Linked DNA regions of Coturnix japonica. The protein of the gene in region 3 binds, or shares a complex with, the protein of the main gene of each other region. Links are inferred from orthologs where the notes say so. Each region holds a gene or a part of one and is shown on either strand. Other genes may lie near its edges. The genes, in order: SPTSSA, ORMDL3 and SPTLC2.

The links.
Region 1: the proteins of SPTLC2 (region 3) and SPTSSA are in contact, whole or in part, in a cryo-EM structure (PDB 7K0K), measured with the Homo sapiens proteins. The link is inferred for Coturnix japonica from reciprocal best matches to the Homo sapiens genes SPTLC2 and SPTSSA. Residues at the interface, in NP_004854.1 of Homo sapiens: Leu73, Gly77, Val80, Leu81, Phe84, Leu87, Arg88, Leu91, Leu126, Arg129, Ile130, Tyr156, Met475, Pro476, Ala477, Lys478, Gly480, Ala481, Arg484, Glu485, Asp533, Leu534, Leu535, Gln536; in NP_612145.2 of Homo sapiens: Trp15, Tyr18, Gln19, Leu21, Leu22, Val23, Thr24, Ala25, Tyr27, Met28, Leu29, Glu30, Pro31, Trp32, Glu33, Val36, Phe37.
Region 2: the proteins of SPTLC2 (region 3) and ORMDL3 are in contact, whole or in part, in a cryo-EM structure (PDB 7K0O), measured with the Homo sapiens proteins. The link is inferred for Coturnix japonica from reciprocal best matches to the Homo sapiens genes SPTLC2 and ORMDL3. Residues at the interface, in NP_004854.1 of Homo sapiens: Glu65, Thr66, Pro67, Met68, Ala71, Val72, Tyr75, Tyr86, Gln116, Phe118, Glu119, Asn120, Phe121, Tyr122, Tyr127, Trp134, Asp259, Glu260, Leu261, Asn262, Val267, Arg271, Ile279, Met320, Val495, Val496, Gly497, Phe498, Pro499, Ala500; in NP_001307730.1 of Homo sapiens: Met1, Asn2, Val3, Gly4, Thr5, Ala6, His7, Ser8, Pro12, Val16, Ser19, Arg20, Gly21, Ile22, Leu24, Ser25, Leu28, Phe63, Val67, Lys68, Gly69, Thr70, Pro71, Phe72, Glu73, Pro75, Gln77, Arg81.

What each region holds. Positions count from the first base shown.
Region 1 is NC_029520.1:32,507,671-32,513,771, reverse strand, and holds the start of SPTSSA (serine palmitoyltransferase small subunit A), read left to right. Parts: upstream 1-2,473; 5' UTR 2,474-2,697; coding exon 2,698-2,800; intron 2,801-5,656; coding exon 5,657-5,760; 3' UTR 5,761-6,101. UniProt on the Homo sapiens protein: Component of the serine palmitoyltransferase multisubunit enzyme (SPT) that catalyzes the initial and rate-limiting step in sphingolipid biosynthesis by condensing L-serine and activated acyl-CoA (most commonly palmitoyl-CoA) to form long-chain bases.
Region 2 is NC_029542.1:3,980,279-3,986,379, reverse strand, and holds the end of ORMDL3 (ORM1-like protein 3), read right to left. Parts: intron 5,546-6,101; coding exon 5,350-5,545; intron 4,705-5,349; coding exon 4,553-4,704; intron 4,462-4,552; coding exon 4,326-4,461; 3' UTR 1,538-4,325; downstream 1-1,537. UniProt on the Homo sapiens protein: Plays an essential role in the homeostatic regulation of sphingolipid de novo biosynthesis by modulating the activity of the serine palmitoyltransferase (SPT) in response to ceramide levels.
Region 3 is NC_029520.1:35,608,746-35,614,746, forward strand, and holds part of SPTLC2 (serine palmitoyltransferase 2), read right to left. Parts: intron 5,071-6,001; coding exon 4,935-5,070; intron 4,199-4,934; coding exon 4,069-4,198; intron 897-4,068; coding exon 777-896; 3' UTR 1-776. UniProt on the Homo sapiens protein: Component of the serine palmitoyltransferase multisubunit enzyme (SPT) that catalyzes the initial and rate-limiting step in sphingolipid biosynthesis by condensing L-serine and activated acyl-CoA (most commonly palmitoyl-CoA) to form long-chain bases.

The DNA.
Region 1 (6,101 bases), about 3.1 Mb from region 3:
ATTTCTGACACTATTCCTGTATTCCTTTTTTATGAAGGGAATCCTGTTAACTGCTTGCATTTGAGAGCGATATTCTTCTACACTGTCAGGTGGTCGCGTTGTCAAGGATTTAATGTTTTGTAAATACAGTGTAAAATCTGTGTATTATGATCATTCCCTGTGTATGTACTGTCCAGTACCTCAGTGTGTATTAAAACTACTGCTTAGAATAAATACTGTATCAGCTGGTTCCCCTTAGCTGCATTGGTTGTTTCTATGGAATGGAAACTATTCTATTCAATGGAACTGTTAAACTTGGTAGCTCTCAGTGAGGATTTTGGGCTTAAGACAAGATTTCTATATCATTTTTACTACCTATGGTCTGACTGGCACATTGGCAGAAATGATGCCATCTGAAGTGGGATAGACTATTACTACATGCTTTAAGCCTGGAGGCATATAGGGAAAATTTTGCTTAGTAACACTGTGGAGGAGCAGATGTAATGGAGGCTGTACTCTGCTGTAGGGCATACTGGCCTCAGTGCAAACTGTCTTCACAGTCCAGGTGATGCATGAAAGCTATTTAGTGTCAGGGTAAGATTGTTGCACTGAGCTGCTGAAAACAGGAGAATGAGGATGTTGTTCAGGGGCTCAAAAGTCAGTGCAGGTGGTAGCAGGAGGAGCAATTGTTGATGGCAATTCTTAAGCAGGAGTAAGATGAAGATAGTGAAGAATGAGACACTCACTATACGGAGGAATAGTGTCCATTTATTAAGGGGCTAACTAGCAAAAGCTGCCTTCTGAGTATGCACCAAATTGAAACGGTGTAAGGACCTGGACAAACAGCTGGTGGATGTGGCAGGAAATGGTGAAGCTGGCATGCTTCCACATTACCTTTCTTCTTATCTCAAGTGCTTGCTGCTGCTTCTTGCTCGCCCGAATTGCAGTTCCTGTTTTCATGAGACATGGGAGCAGGAGAGACTGGGAGATGTTTGCTTCATATCGATACTGCTCTTGCAGCTGTGCAAGGCTGTAGTGCTTTAGATGTGCTAAAAACCCCACCTGTCCTTGGACTTCATGTGCTTATTTAGAAAAGTAGTTTTCATCATGGCTGCAGATCTTTCAAGCAGTGTCAACAACACAAGACTCCTCCAGTGTCAATTACAACAAGCAACAGCTGTCTTGGGTAGGGGCAACAGCTGCTGTAGCCAGCTATGTGGGGGTATTGAATCGTATAAATACGCTCGTTTCTTCTTGTGCTGAAATAAATTGATCTAGATATATTATGTCTGAATGTATTCTAGCTGGATTAAAACCCGTATCAGATCTTTCCACATAAATTACGACAGTGTTTGGTTGTCTCTGCCAGCTAGTTTTCTTTTGCACAGTTATCTCCTGGTGCTGTAGGTGCAATTCACAGCTCTGTAAATAATTAATATGAGCACCCTGCTGTGACTGTATTTCCTTGCTTTCCACTGTGCTAACAGCACTGGTTAAATTAGGTGTGGGGCAGCTGCAAGACTAGGGTTGCACTAGAACTGACATAACGTAAAGCTGTTTTACTGAGCAGGATGATGGCAGAGGGCTGACAGCAGTTTCTCATCTGTGGTGCACACCTAGCATGTGCATGAGGCCTTTCCTGGTGGCCTGGCTCCAGCACACAGGGGTTGGTTGTACCTTGTACTTAATCGCGATGCTTGACTTCCCCACGTGTTGCTTTTCACTGGGTTTGTGTTCTAACTACTGCATTTGAAACTCAGTTGTCCACGTAAGCTGCCAAAAGTCAAAATAGCAGTTACAAGTTTCTAACACTGAAGCATCTGGCCCCAAACACCTCTCAGAAGGGCAAAGTTAGCAGCCATTATGGTAAAAAGTTGATCTTTTTGCCTCTTCCGCTGTTCCTGTGGGACTGATCTAGTCAGTCCATGTTGAAAGACTGCACATTTACCTGAGCAGTGGTTTTGGGTGGGCTTTGCCCTGAATACTAAAGGTACTGAAGCCGCCTGCAGAACCCTTTAACACATATGATGAATCACGTTGAACGCAATCTTCAGGTGATCTCTAATACCCAGTATGTCCATTTAAATGAAACAGGATGGGAGAAAATTGGGTGCAGCAGTCTTCCAGATATGACTCAGATCTGCTCACATGGTGACGGACAATCGTGTGATGTGATGTGATCTAAGCAGGATCAGGCTCGCGCATACAGCTGATTTATTCTGTAGGGGAAAATCAACGCGTTCTGCTACGGGGACTGAGAGTGGCTGGGTTTTGTAGTATGTGAAGCGAGCTTCTTCTGCGATCCGCAGAGACTGTTTTGTACGGGAATACAGGCAGCCTCACGGCCATTGTAACCGACTCCAGGACTGACTGTCAGTACCGTACACGCGCTGTGAGGACGGAGAGGAGACGGAGCCGAGTGTCCGCTCCCTCCGCCCCGCTTCCAGGGGCCGTGCGGGGCAGCCTCGGCGTTCAGTGTCCGCTCCCAACTCCGTCCGCTCCGGGGCGCTGCCGACCCGACCCGCGCCCCGCCCGCCTCGCAGCGCCTCCATTTCGGGAGGCCGCAGCCCGGGGCCGGGCCTCGCGCGGTGGGGCCAGTCGGCAGCGACGGCGGAGGGAGGCGGGTCCCGGGCAGCCACCGCCCCCGTCTCCGCTCGGCCTGGGCCCGGCGCAGGCGGCTCGGGGCCGGCGGCGGGTGGGGAGAGCGCGGTGCGCGCCATGGCGCTGGGCTCGGCCTGGAAGCAGATGTCGTGGCTGTACTACCAGTACTTGCTGATCACCTGTAGCTACGTGCTGGAGCCCTGGGAGCGCACCGTCTTCAGTATCCTTCTGCCGGCGGCGCGTGGCCTGTCGGGCGGGTAGCTCTGGGGCCGGGTGGGATGTGGACGGTGTCCCGGGGCTGTACCGAGGGCGGCGGGGAGCTGGGAGCGGTGTGCGGGGCTGGCGGGGCTGCAGCCGGTACGGGCGGAGCGGGGCCGGAGTCAGGGAGAGCCTTAGTGCCGGCGCGTGCCTTCTGTCACGGGCATCTGCACGGTCCGACCGCCTCTGCCCGGGGCCAAGTTTACATCCTGCCGTGCTTTCTCCTCAGCCTTTCTTTTATCATTATTATCTTTTTCTTATTCTTTTCTCTCCCGTAGAATTGCGGTAGTTATTTTTCCCCCCTGACTCTTCAGCTGGAGCACCATGGTTTCTGCTCAGCACAGCTCTTGAGTTAATTCTGTTTTGTCGTCTCGTGGAAAGTAAATGTGTGTGCTGGGGAGCTTTGGTTTGGGCTGCGCTGTGTCACACGCTGTTTGTTAGAAGAGCATTTAATCCTTGAGCCGGTGAATTTGTTTGTCTCTTCTGGAGTGGAAGAACTGGATAGATGCTAATGTGAGGCTTCTGTATGCAGACTACTTGTAGGCAAGCTTCCTCAACCAGCTCTGTCAGACTGGCACTGCGGTGTCCTAAGGGCTGTTATTTATTACCAGTGGTGTTCTTTGCGAGCGTGGCTGGTTTGATCTTGAGTTAAAATGATGTCTCATGAACGACCCTGAGCCATCTCCAGTTTATGCTGAGAGGCACAGAGACAAACCAGCCAAAACATTAACACTGCTTGCACCCATCAAGAAGGGTTTAATGGTGAAAAGCTGCTTTTCCTGGTTAGTTGTAAAGGAACTCATTATATAAGAGTGGTTTCCCAGGTTGTAGCTGGTTACAGGTTGCAGAGAGTTTTCTAATGTACACTTGGTAAAAGTGGAGTCATTACTATTTTTTGGCTTTCTCATTCTTACAGATGCACAGTGCTCAGCTATTGAGGCAGCGGTTTTTAGTTTCAGAGTACTCTGTTTCTGATTAGAACACCCAAATCTGTTTATGCTGTGTCTGTATCACTGAAAACACTCCATTTTTGCTTTCCTTACAACTAGATCAGTTATAAACAAATATATGTATTTTCCTTTCATATTAACTGGACAGCTTCTTAACTTGGACAAGGCATTTAAGTAGTTGACAGATGTGTGTGCATGTTTATAAAGTGCTTGTTTTGCAGTGAAGTGATCGTTGCTCCACTTAAAATAGTGTCCTGAGTATCCCAATATATTGTTTGCAGCATCAGATGAGCAGAACTGTCCCTGTCCTCAGAGGGAATGCTGTCACTGCTGGTGGGCCAAGTCTGCCAGGCACTGTGGTGCCTGGACCACACTGGACCACACAGGCACATGGCCTTGGAGCTGGCAGTCCAGAGACTTGCTGTGTGTATTTCCAGCTTATTGTATTCAAGAAGTGTAGGGAACACTGATACTGGAACGTAGATGTAGCATTGACCTTCATTTTAGTGTCTTGCATTGTGCAATCTTCTGGGACTAAAAATACACCCAGAAGCTGGCATGCTCTAATAAGCACCACATCTACCTCTTGGGGAAGTCAGTTACAGAGCCCTTGTTGCACACATGCTCTGGTTACTTTTCTCTAAGTTACAGAGCATGCACGGCTCCTCTGATTTCACCTGTGGAAACCTGAGTACTGTTATCAGTGTTATCGTGCTTGTTAATCTTCAGAGCTCTATATAGTGTTTCTGAATCTCTGCAGGTTATTGTTGAGAGTACAGCTCTTGAATTTCTAAAGTCTTAAACTTTGAGTGGCCTAATCTTTGAGTAGTCTGATGTTATAGTTTCTGTTAGATAAAGCCTTGAGAATCCTGGAGTATGACAAAGGTCTAGTTGTATGTTTACATTGTAAGCCATCTGACTTCTCTGACTTTCCATTTGGAGTTCAGCTGAATGAAGGGGTCATTGCTTAGCAGATGGCTTCATGTGAGATTTGTTTTGCAGCTCTGCCATAGTAAAATACCAGCAAGCATATATTTATTTACACGCACAGATTTATTCCAATCATGCTGATCCTATGAGGCATTGGGACTGAAATGTCTGGAAAGCTGTGTGTCACAATGTTGCCCATATTTTTCATTACCCTTGCAGCCTATTTTTTTTCCTAAGTGCTGTCAACACTTTAATGTAGCTCCTTGCCTGTGATAAAAGGTCTGAGCTGATAGAGCAGCAAACCAAATAATGTAGTGACTTAAAGCCTAGAGAACACTGTTTTCCTGGCTTTATGTTTGCAGTACAACTTTCATGCCAGATGTTTTGTGAACGATACATTAAATGTATTATGTCATTCTGTTCTGGTAAGTTGATACCAACATTTAATGCTTTCTGCTTAATAGTGAGTAAGCTGTGCACAAATATCAGCTCTTACTCAGTACAGGTACTCATATAATCCTTCTGTTTTTGCCTCTCCTTTTTTTTTTTCCTGATGGTTGACTTTTCTGCCTGACTGATTGTGCTGGCTACTGCAGGTATTGCTTAAGACCTTGGAGGATGTATGCGTAATTCATATATCCCCAGTGCCCATTTTCAGTCCCTTCTTCCTTCCCACGCTTCCGTCTGTACTGTTGTGTCTATGACAAGGCAGTGGATATCTTACAAAGCATCCTGCTGTAATTCACTTTATCACCCCTACCCATGCTCTGTTTTTCAGTGTTCTGTTGCTTCTTCCTACAGCTGTAACTGTTGAATACAGTTAGTACTTAAGATTTACAAATATAATGTTATGAGATAGGAAAAATGGTAGTGCTGTGCTTATATGACTTGTAATGTACTTCTGGTTTCAAATGCTTTCTTCCTTACCTGTCGTTCAGATTCAATGCTAGTTTCCATTGTTGGAATGGCACTGTACACGGGCTATGTGTTCATGCCTCAGCACATCATGGCGATATTGCACTACTTTGAGATTGTGCAGTGATGAAGAGTGTATGTTCAAGAAGTTATCGTGCTCTGAAATCTGGTCGACAAAGAAGAACGAACCTCTTAGTTTTAACAAGACTTCTACCGCTGTCCAAAAAGGAAAGACACAATGATGATTCTGAAGACTAGGAAACGAGATGTGTAGAGCAGGGGCATGAGATGTCCCCTATGTTGTGTTAATTCCTTTTGATTTTACAAGATATGCCCTTGTATAGTAGTTTTGTCTACCTTAACATTGTGATTGTACTTTGATATCAGTATTTTCTTAACTTTGTGACAGTTTCGATATTGCACTGTGAAAGCTTTTCTTAATTGTAATTTTGAGTAAATCTTAATTGC
Region 2 (6,101 bases), on a different chromosome or scaffold from region 3:
GTCAAAGTCTTTAAGGAAGCGAAAGTGATGGAGGTGATGGGCTGAGGAAGGAGGAGCACTCGTTCTGTGCCAGAATGTTCCTCAGCATTTTGGGGAGGGATTAATGGACACCAACCCCCCCCAGACCCCAACATCCCCACTCCTCTCCCTGCATCCCTATGGGGCGGATGGGAACTGCTGTTGCATTATTAGTTCTCCAAGTAGAACTTTGGTTCTGCTTATTGGCCTTCAGTGACACGTCAGTAGAAGTGAGATAAGCTTTGATTTACGAGCAAAGCAGCTTCCTTTAACTAAGGAGGAAGATGTGCTGTGCTGTGCTGTGCTGTGCTGTGCTGTGCTGTGCTGTGCTGTGCCTTCTGTGTGCTGCTGCCTCACTGTGTCGTGCTCTGAAGGAATGGATCCCATTCAACACCAACAGTTTGCTCTCCTCCCTCCCTAAAGGAGCACATTGTCACGTCCTGCCCGGGGAGGGTGACCGGATTCACAAACCCTCTTGGTTCCATTAAGGACACTCGGATCCAAATGCAGACGTAACCGGTTCTCATTAAAGCTGACTGTAAAAGTATTGGCACTCTCAAAGTTCTGTCTGTCAGAGCTGTGAGGATAAACTGTGACTTTATAGGAAGTTGAAATAAACCTCGGTTGCTTAACTTTATGAGGAGAAAGAAAGACAAAATGGGGGAGGAAGGAGAGAAGAGAAGGGAATGGGTGGAGAGGGGAACCGTGGGTCTGTGCTCCAGCTCTGATTCAGATAATGGGGGACTTTGGGCTGTGGGAGCACTCAGCCTTAAGTCTCAAAGTTCTCAAGTCCCAGGAGGAGCTGGGGAGGGACTTTGGACAGTGGGAGAGAAGAGTGGGGTGGCAGAGTGGGGCAGCCCTCCCCCCATCCGTGGGGCAGCTCTTACCTGGAGCCTGTGGGGGGATGTGGGGCTCTGTGCTGCAGGAGTGGGACCAGCTGGTTGCGGTGCCTGCAGTGCTTGCAATGCTTGCAATGCTTGCAATGCTTGCAGTGCTTGCAATGCCTGCAGTGCTTGCAATGCTTGCACTGCCTCCTGTACTTACTGGCTTTGCTATGTGAGCCTCCTGCCAGCCCGGAACTGCCTGCCCGATAAGGAAAGAAGAACTGATATAACCCCAGCCCTGAACTTTTCTCGCCGTCACTTCTGCTGTCGTGCTGTTCCAGCAGCTGTGGGCACTTTGCACTCGATCCCTGTGTACCTTGTTCCTGGGCTGTAGGACTTTGCTTCTGTTGTGGTTGTTTGGCAGTTATGCAGGGATGAGGAGCAGGGCGTGCTGGTTAACGTAGCACGGTTGGGTTGTGGTTGGATTTGATGACCTTGGAGGTCTTTTGCAACCTGAGCAATTCTGTGATGCTCAGCTGGGGGTTGGAGTTGGACTGGGGGGGTCCCTTCTGGCCCCTCCAGCTCTGCAGTCCATGAGGTTCCAGCTCTGCCACATCCTGGTTGGGCTGCGGCCACAGTGAGCATCAATGAGCAGAAGTGCCCATGTGGGAATGCAAGGAGCTGAAGGCTGGTTATTACATGAATACTCACTTTATTAGTTTCTCTTAGAAGGCTTTACAAAGGAGTAATAAAAATATTCACACTTTGTTTTAGAAAGTTCCCTACACGAGACTTCAGCATCCACAGCAAAAAGGAAGGGCTGCTGGAAGAAAGAAACCAACAAAGCAAACCCAAACCCTAAAACTCCGTCCGATGGCAGAACGTTGTGTTCAAACAAAACCAGCCCCACCAAACTAATGGAGCTGAGATTGATCCAAGGAGGACGAGGCAATGCAAAGGCCTGCATGCTTAAAATATATGCCACTCAATGGTAGAGACATGGAAGTCCCAGTAAGAAACAGCAATGCATCCATCATGGTAACACAACTGCTGCCCACTTTATCAAGGGCCAGTACTATCTGCCATGTAACCCCAATGGGGACACCTGTGTAATTCTATGTTAACCACTCCAGCTAAACAAAGTGGGGAAAGTTTACCATCATAATGAAGGCTTTGTCCCATGAGAACTTCTGGACTCAGGGCTTGAAAACCTGCCTTTGCCAGAAGTCTGTAATTCCAGTCCATGTTGTTTTATTGATGCTCTTTCATGGAGCAGAACAGAATCAGGTGTCCGTCGTGTCAGCCAACAGCACAAATAATGCAGGCTCCAAACCCCAGCAGCAACACTGAGCTGAGCCCCAAAACTGCTCTGAGCTGGGGTAACTTGTACACTCAATACATCCTATGGATGGGAGTCGAGGTTAAAAGCCAAAGCACCCTCAATATAACAACTACTTTTGCTGCAAGAAAGCTTTTATTTCCCCCTTTCATATCATGCCTAAAGGAGTAGTGTCTCTTCTCCTGGAGGTTTACCACTGGGGTATGGGTTCATGTGCTGTCAGACATTCAGACCTGCTGGGCTGCCCTGTGTCCGTGAGCATCCCAGGCCCTGGTGCTGTTCATCCCTTCCTAATTTCCAAAGCACTGATGAACAAAATAGGTTTGTTATGAAGAAAAAAGAAAGAAAATGAAGTATTCCCCCCCCCCCCCAAAGTCATTGTCTGGTAGCTTAAAGAGTTCGTCAGCTTTAGGGTCTGTAGTACCGTAACTCAAGCAGCAGCACTTGTGTCGTGGTGGTTTAACCCCCACCCTGTCGGGTACCCCAAACTTCTGCCAAACTCTCACTGGAGATCAGCGCTCAAATCCCAACCCGGCTCTTCTTCCACCTTCTTCAAGGCTTCCTTTGCACTTAAAACATTCCCATTGCTCAACAACTGTTAAATAATGACCCCATGCATCCCAGCATGGCTCTGAGCTACGTTAACTGTTTTCTCCCTTCACTGCAGCAGCCTGCTAAGTACGGGATAGAAATAAAGCCTAATACTATGCATGGAGTACTACCAGATCTTATATAGTAGATCTTGGAGCTTCTCTATGCCCTATGCCCAGACCCTCATACAGAACTCAATATCCACTTTGACTTCTCAAGCCAGACTTGGCTAATTAAGAACAAACCCAGCACATTTAAAATGCCTTCACCATTGCCAACGTGAGACAACGTAAGCACTGAGACAACAACAAAAGAATGCAGGCTGGTGGAAGGGAAAGCATCAGCAAAACCACATTTCATCCAGCACAAAACCTGCAAGAAAAAAGCATCTCAGCCAGGAAACCCAAACCTGCAGCCCCACAACCCTCCCTTGTTCCAGCGGTGGTTGGAGGGGGATGAAGGCTTGAGTTTATTCCTATACAAAACCATCTGTTGTCTTTGGTGACCTGAGCACCCTTCTCTGGGGCAGGTCAGTGCTGCTGGTGCTGCTCCTCGGTGCTGCTCTGCTCCCTCCCCATTGGCAGCCATCAGCCCTGGGGGTCTGCGGTGCTTCGTGGAGGTTTTCATGCCGAGTTCATTGGAGAGCTGGCAGATCTCATTAACAGCTACGTGGGCTGAGGAGACCGAGGGGATGGATGGAGGAGGAGAACTCAAATCGCTGCCACCCAGCTCTCAAGCAGCCGTTCAGCTCTCACATGGTCTGAATCCATCAGTCTTTGGTTCCTCCCAGGCACCTCAGTCGTTATAATGAGCTGCACCTCAGCCCTTCATCCCCAAGCTGAGCAGTTTGGGTTGGGAGGCAAAGTTACCCAAGCTGGAAGTAACAGCTGCAAGTTGGGACCTTCCCCTGACCCAGATGGATGGTTCCGAAGGGAGCAGACAGTCGTCTCAAAGCGCAGCCTGTTTCTTCTTTCCTCTACTGCTTTGAGTAGAACAGCTTCCTTCCTCGGTGCCATAAAAGCTTTCGACATCAAACTGTGTCATTCTGTTCCCCTCCCTTCTCTTCCTCTGCCCAAGAAATGGAACCAAAACCCGAAACCATCAAATAATGGGAGAGTTTGGCTGCGTCCCTTTCCATTTCCCCGCGGATCGCTTTAAAGCACCAAAGCTTCAGAAAGGGAAGTAATGTTAAAGTGCATTTACCACAGCAATAGTACCAGCACTAAAAGCTTTCCCCCTCACCCCTGTTCTCATCGCATCTGGGATAGATGAAAACCTTCCCACGATTCATCCTCGTTGTACCTTGGAGTCTCGGTGTATCTGCATCTAATGATGATGCTGGAATAAAAGAAGCCCAGCATCCTGCTCCTGGCTAAACTCTACTCTGGAGCTTCTTTAGGTTTATTGGGCATGAGGATCCAGCATGCGGTGTATGTCTATTGGGTACTGCGTTTAAAACAGCTGCTGTGAAACTATCCCAGTGTGTGTGGGCAGGGGGGGGACGGGAGCAGGGAGGAGGAACCTCCATGAGCTCCACTGCTCCTCCATCTGCTTCAGTACTTGTTGATCCCAAAGATCCGCACTCCATGGAACTGAGGCAGTTTGGGGATCAGGACGCTCATCAGGGAGATGGTGTTGATGACGAAGTGTATCCGGTCGTACTTGGTGTAAAAGCTGGTTAGAAAATACCTGCAGAGAAAGAGAGAATGCAAAGAGACACTGAATGACAGCACGCCGTGTGCTCTGCCTCCCGCTTGCTTTGCTCCCCTGCAGCACTCACAGCACGATGGGCATGATGGTCAGGAACTTGCGGGATGCTGTGAACTGCACGCCATAGTCAATCTGCTCCCAGTGCGTGAGCAGCCTCGCCTTGCCCTGGTCTGGCGTCTCAAAAGGGGTTCCTTTCACCGTGTGTAGGAAGATGTACATGCTCTGCAGAGAACACAAATGCAGGGTGAGATGTGAGTGGTGTTACAGCCCCCCCCCCCAGCAATGGTTCAGCTTCAGACAGGGGAGCAGAGTAATGAGGGGCTGTGTAAGATTGCAGCAGCACTTTGCTCCGCTAGAGGGATGCATCACCAGCGCTGTGAACCCAAAGCAGCCACAGGAAGCTGAGCTGGCTCTGCCTTGGCTGCTAAGAGCAACGCCTGTCTGGGCTGTAAGCAAAGGGAGCTGTGAGATTACAGCACTCGGGATTATTGCACTGTGCAGCAGCAATGCTCAGTGCTGTCTAAAAGGCAGAAAGGATGCGTTGCTGTCTTATAGATAAGCAATGTTGGGCTCAGACATGTCTTTAACACACAGCCCTCGCTGCCCTCAGCTCCCCTCTGTTCCCAAGGCCAAAGGTTGAGCAGGGCAAGGAGCTGGGTGAAATGCAGGCGGCTGTGCTGCACTCAGCCCCCAGCAGTCATAGCTCTGGGTTTATGTGTTCATGTATTTTTATATCACTGGAGATAAGACAAGCAATCCCAAGGATGGATTCACCACTGCAATGCTCTCAGATGTTAACATAAAGGACACGAAATTGATGGCCACAGCTCCAAAGTATTTTGCCTCTTTGAGCTGGGGTTGGCTTACCATGTTGTGAATGATGTTGGTAAGAGTCCAAACCACGGGGACGCTGAAGAAGGGGATGCTCAGGAGCACGACGTGCAGCAGCCCAATGCCAAGGATGTAGGACAGCCAGATGCCCCGGCTGTTCATCACGCGGGTGTTGGGGTTCACCTCGCTGTGTGCTGTTCCCACGTTCATATTGGCTCTTGTTTTCACCCCTCTGAAACAAAACCAGAGGCAGGTCCGTGCTCAGGTCACTGTTTTCATCCATGTTTCACAGCTTACTGGGGAGCTGAGAGCTGTCTTACCAATGATCAGGGATTACAGGAAAGAGCTGCTGTAATGCAGGATATCTTTGCACAGAGATCAGGGAAGGTCTTGCATAAAACACTCAGCCTGTTTCCCAAGGAAATAATACAGCCTGTCCCTTGCACAGCAGATCCCAAAGCAATGACTTCTCCCTGATGTTCAGCCTCGTGCTTTTGCTGCTTTGCTTTCCACAGCTGAAAACCAAAGCAAGCTGCTGTTCTGTCCAGCTCTTGGTCTCAGGAGGCGAGTCCACGCCAGATCTGACATTATGCTCTGGATGTTCCTGCCAGCTACTCCGAGTTCCCTTTCTAAGTGCTGGGCCTGGTTTGTTTCAGCAGCTGCTGTGCTCTGAGCCTGCCTGCTGCTCACTCACACAGCACGTGTGCAGCTCTGGGATGCTCACTGCTGAGCTGATGGATGCTCCCATGTCTCTACTGCCACTCAGGGAGCTTCAGGTCTGGAATAGG
Region 3 (6,001 bases):
AACAACAACATCGCTCCATCACTTACCCTATATGAAGAGGACAATTACTGTCAAAACCAGGAGGCAATCTGGTATCCATACCAGGAAGGAAAAGAAGTTAGAGTCCCAGAAGTCTTACTGCCTGTGGCTTGTAAAACTGAATAATGTTTGGGAACAATGGTCCTGTCAGTGCCATGTCAGCAACACATTTATTTTAAAAAAGCTATATTCAAGTTTTAAACAAGTAACTGCAAAAGAAAAAAGCTTTGGTTGATTATCAATCTTGTTAAATATGTCAAAGTTAGCAATCAACAGTTTCTCTAGGAAGTCTCCAATCAACAGACAGGTCAGCTCACCCCTCACTACAAGTTCAGACACCTAGCAGTGACACTGGAAATGCTGCCATGCCAGCGTCACACATGCTCACAACATCTCAGCTAGCATCTGGGAGGCTACTGGTGCATAACAAATTCTGAGCTGATCAGCCACAGCCAACGTGGATAGCTATGAACTTACTGAGATAAATAAATAAAAAAGCAACATGAAGAAATAAAGCCAAGCACCTCTAGGGCCAGACCCTGAAGACACATGAATCAAAGGTTTTCTGTTGTTTTGTTTTTTTAGCTTCTCCTCTCTCTATTTACAAAATGCCATTTAGAATTGATGTGGCCACTTCAGTATTGTGAGGAAATGTCTTTTACACTAAGCAGTCATAAGTGTGTTGTTCACAGACTGTGGCCTGCATGCCACAGAGTGTCCCATCGGGTGTGTCCCTCCCACCAAGGCATACGGAGTGCTCAGTCTTCTGTTTCTTCATATGTAGTCTCATCAAATGGCCGGTCCAAGAGAGGTACCAAACGGTGACGGGAATATTTCAGTTGCAAAAGGTCCCCAACTTCATTGATTTCTTTTAAAGCCTGAGAAAGAGACCACAGTGTATCAGCAGGGGAAACAGATGCAAGGAAGCTATCAGCACATCTTCCTTTTTACATGCCCACAGAAAAAGTGGAAATTAACCAGACTAGGATTATGTAGCTTCAGGTATACACAACATTTTTGTTTGTTGTTTTAATATTTGTCAGCCTCCAGACCAAGCGAGTGGCACAAGTAATTTCACCAAGAGTGACTGCACATACCTGACTATTCCAACTCCAAAGCACGAATATAGCAGCCAGCAATACTACCCTTATTTTCACTGTCAGCCCAATTAAAGCCATGCCTGTCCATACAACAGATCAATTGAGAAAAGCATTCCACTCTTTTTGGGACAGAGGGTGTGGGGGGGAAGGGGTTAATATAGCTGAAACAAGAAAATGTACTTGGAGGTTTGATGCACCTTTTTTTACAGTATGAAAATACTGTATGTGTTGGTACTACTGAAATACCATACCTTTTTATATTACAAGACAGTGGAAAAAAACCCTATTTTATGCTAGCAGCTTTTCCTGATGCATTTTAAAATATCTGTATTTGATTAGATTGAGTTGCCCAAGTACAACTAGAGATGGAATAAGCATTGTACACAATGGTTTTTGTCAAGGAATGAAAAGCCATTCTGGTAGGATCCTAAGCATTTTTCTCCACCTGGAAAGAAGCTCTCTCTAACTGTGGCCATAGAGGAACACCTAGCCTACTGGTGGTCATGAGCACTGATAACGAGCTCGCAAAACCTTTCATCGTATGATCCGAATGCTAATTATATGAAGTTCTCTAGAAATCAAGCACCTGCTAGCATAAGAAATGAGGAAAGTCCCTGCTCAGATAATCATGCAATCTCTTTGATAAGACGCTGGCTCACAGTAGAATCTGTTAGAAGTCAGACCTTAAGCTTCTACCTCTCTGGAGACCACCCCTGGAACAAGGTGCTAAAAATAAGCCAGTTGCTGCAGACAAATGTGCAACAGTATGTCATGCTAATTATCTATCTCATCCATGGTGAGTGACAAATATACATATAGAAGACGACTTTCAACTTAAGTGAGATTTTTGAACTCCAAGGTTGGCAGTCTGCACTCCCTTACATTTCAGATTTGTTCAGATAGAAACTTTCAGCATTCCTTCAGATTGCCACTAATTCAACAACAACACTCCAGTTTTAACATGTTCTGGGTCAAATGCCTGTCTCTTGAGAATAGCTGGCAGATGGAGGCTAATATCCCTACATGCTTTTCCTTCCTGAAAGAACAGTCCAAGTTCCTACTTCTTTAAACAACAGCCCCTCATGCTTGTTATATCTGGCAGCAAGAACCTCTCCATTCTAAAATCTGGGGGAATGACAAGACCAGAAGTTGGACCTCAATAAAAACAAAACCAAACAAGAGCGTGGGCACAGTTTGCCAGAGCTTAAAGTAAAGACCCCATATGGAAACAATTTAAGGTTAATTTCTGTTGAAAGAGTCTGTTAACTGTTATTCTTGAATGCAGATTTAGGATTTTATTAATTTAAAACAAAAAGAACCATGTGACTAACAAAGACTACAAAGGAAATGGCATTGGTGAACTCCAATTTCAAGAGAGTGTGATACATATTTTTCATCACTAAGAAGAAAGCACCAACCCACAGGGATGCAGGTTATGAGGGACCACACTCTGATCCTGAGCCAAATATTCTCAGGCAAGGAAGTTTTATTTACATAAAATGGTTAAAATTGTAACTGAGAACTGTTCCCCATCACATGATTTTATTTAATAAGAACAAGGAAGCATTACAAATATCAGTATTCATAAGACAAACTTCCCCATGCTCTGTACTCAGATTAATTTTGTTTACAAAAAATGCCATAACAGCATTGGTTAGTATCCATGCACACACGGAATGGCTACCAAGTTCTCTGTACCACTGACTTGTGGAAACTGTGCCAGCTCTCTCCACTTCTGCTCACTTCATTTTTTTTTCCTCTTGGATATTGTTGCCACAGTTCAGCAGGGGGAACCGATCTGACCGTTGTCTTAATTACTGGCTGCCTGAAACTGATTCTGTTTCACTGTGTCAGCAGAAAAGCAGAACACAGTCACTGACACAAAGACTCGCTACTTATTAACTCCACTTGCCAGTGTTCTGGGTTCAGGGCATGCAGTCACTTCAAACTTTAAAGCAGTTTATGCCAACTTGGAACAAAGCCTTCACATTCCAAGCGAAAAATCAACATTTCTTCATTCACTTCAAAATTCATACACTTTGTCCTGGATTAATTTTCTTAGGCAGACAAACCCTAGTGTATTAAACAAGCATTTCTCTTGGTTTGGAGCCTTTAGCATCTAGAGATATACTCTAGAAGTGAGTCAGTCCTCAGAGCTAAACACACAAAACTTTCAGGTAGTTCTACTGATACAGAGCTGCACCTGATATACATACCAAACGGTGCACATAACTGCCACACTACCCTTCCTAGCAAACATGAAATCAAGAAGGGTCATTTCCTGCTACTGATGTAGAAATTGTGTGGAAACTAAGGATTAAAGGCTTAAAACTACATTTTTGTTGTTGCTGTTGATATGCTGGTAAGCGTTTGCTTAAACTACAACTCCTATTTGCTGTTCACGTTACAAAGCGTCTCCACCTGATCATACCTGGGCACAATTTCTCCTTCATAATTCTACAATAACTACTCCCAACCACCTTCTTGTCTGTAACTAGCTTAGAAATAGTTTCAAGGAATGATTCTTCTTCATCATCCTCCCAAGGATCAAGGTGAGGTTGTCCAGCCTGCAGTTCCCCTGATCATGCTCTTGTCCTTCCTTGAGCACCTCTTTCAATCAACCATGATCTTTCACAGAGCTAATTGAGAATGTCACTATGTTCCTATTTAACAAGGGAAAAAAACAGTGTCTTAAGGGAACAAAACCACCCCACTTGCATATCTGAAATGGGAAAAAGCCCCTGGAATTTACTGAAGACGACTGTTCTGATTTGTTGGAGATGGCATCCACACTACTACAGACAACTCTGAACATTAGGTTTAATTAATTTGCATACCAAGCACTGAACCATTCTAAAAAAAACAACAAAAAACCCACAAAAGAACCCATAAAAACTAGAATTATCTCTGCTTACAGAAGACACAAGCTAGAAAGAGATGAGACACTTACCGTATCAAGCATCTCTTTGGTATGAGCTGCAGACAAACAGAACCTGGCTCTGGACTCAATGATGGGAGTTGCAGGGAAGCCCACAACCACAACACCAATGTTCCGCTTCAGCATCTCACGCCCAAACGCACTGCCAAAAAAAAAAACCCAACATCAAAAACATTATCCAGGAAAACTGGTCAGAATCATACCTGTAGAGAAAGAGCAGTGACAGCACAAAGGTCTTAGTATGTTTACCTATACACGCCTTTGTTAAACAAGCCTGTAACACCACAAGTTGGAGCTTCCAGTTCTTTCTCATGGAGGCAGAACGTTTAATTACAAAGGCTCCCTTTAATTCAACCCCAAGGTGGTCTTCCTCAAAAGCTCTCACTGTATTAAGTTCTAGCAAAGCTGAAAGATTATATGTGGCAGAGGCTGGTCTTTTGGCAAGCTCTTTCTAAATGGATTTGTAACCTAAGCTTGAAAATCCTTCTGATAGGAAACAGGAACTAAGGCTCAGAAGTTTGACTCAATGAGGAATGCCCCCTGCTGTAACATCCCAAAGCAAATGTTTCTGCTATTTCAAAATTGTTTATTTCTACCAATTAAATTCAATTGAGGCACATTACAGAGCCACAGGATGTACCACTTTTTTAAGTGCTTATCAAGGGAACATTCAAATGCAAAAAACAAAAACAAAAAACAAAAAAAACAAATCTCATCTAACGCCAAAATTTTTTAAGAAAGATGCAAAAATCTCTTTGTATGTGAATAAGAACAAGCTTTGCCACTACACACCATGTTTCAAAACAAAAATCTTCCTTTACATTTAGAGAAGTCTTAGTATTCTTATAGCATACTAACTTTAAAGTAGATGGACCTACCCAATTTTTGCTGGCATGTACAGCATCAGAGGCACAACAGGGGAATCTTCATTTCCATAGATGATAAAGCCCATCTCTTTCAGTCGTCTCCTGAAATACCTTGTGTTCTCTGCTAACTGCTGAACACACTCTCTCCCTAGAAGAGAAATTAAGACAATAGACACAATGGTCATAAACCACACATGTAACTGCAGCAGTAGATCTCTTCTCACTTAGGTACAAACCAAAAATGTGCAACTTGTGCTAACAGAACAATTAAAATGCAAACTAGAATTCAGTTTCTTCTTTCTCTTTTAATCAAGATTAATCAAGACTAATTACTCACTTTCTGATAAGGCTGCTGCTGGACGGAGAAGGACAAGCTTAACTGTCAAATCCACCCCCCCTAATTTTTCAATATCTGAATTTATAATCAAGAGATACAAAGCTGGCAAAACAGTACAGTAGGCTGCTTTTAAACAAGCTGCAAAATTTGCTCAAAATTAATTGACACCCGTATGTTACAGAATGGTTTGCTTGCAGTTTGAATAGCTAATAAATATCAGTCAGCTGAAGCTTCTCACCATATATTTTTCCTGCCTGTCTGTATTGATGGAATTACCACGTTCCTCTCAGATTTGCCAGCTGAACTGATCAAGCAGCTGTTCCATAACCTTTCTCACCAAAAGCGAGCTGGGCTTAAATTAAACAGATTACCTCTGATAATCCAGCTCATTATGCACAAACAGCAGCAGCCCATTTATCATGTGATCAGCCAATTCCGAACTCATTCTTTGGACATTCGGTAAAATACATACACAAGACATTAGACCACAAGTAAAATCCAAATATTCCAGCTACTCAGATATGCATGGAACAACCTGTTTATCAGCTGAATTCTAACCCAGCACAATGTAGCAGTTGACAATAATGCATTTCTGATTAACAAGTATTCCAACGTGCTTAAGAGATTAAACACTATGCCACTGACGAGACAACAACTGATCATCCAGACACCACCTTCACCAAATGAGTAATTCATATACTTTAGCACTAAATCTACAGCAGTGCTGATGTATGCCACGGTG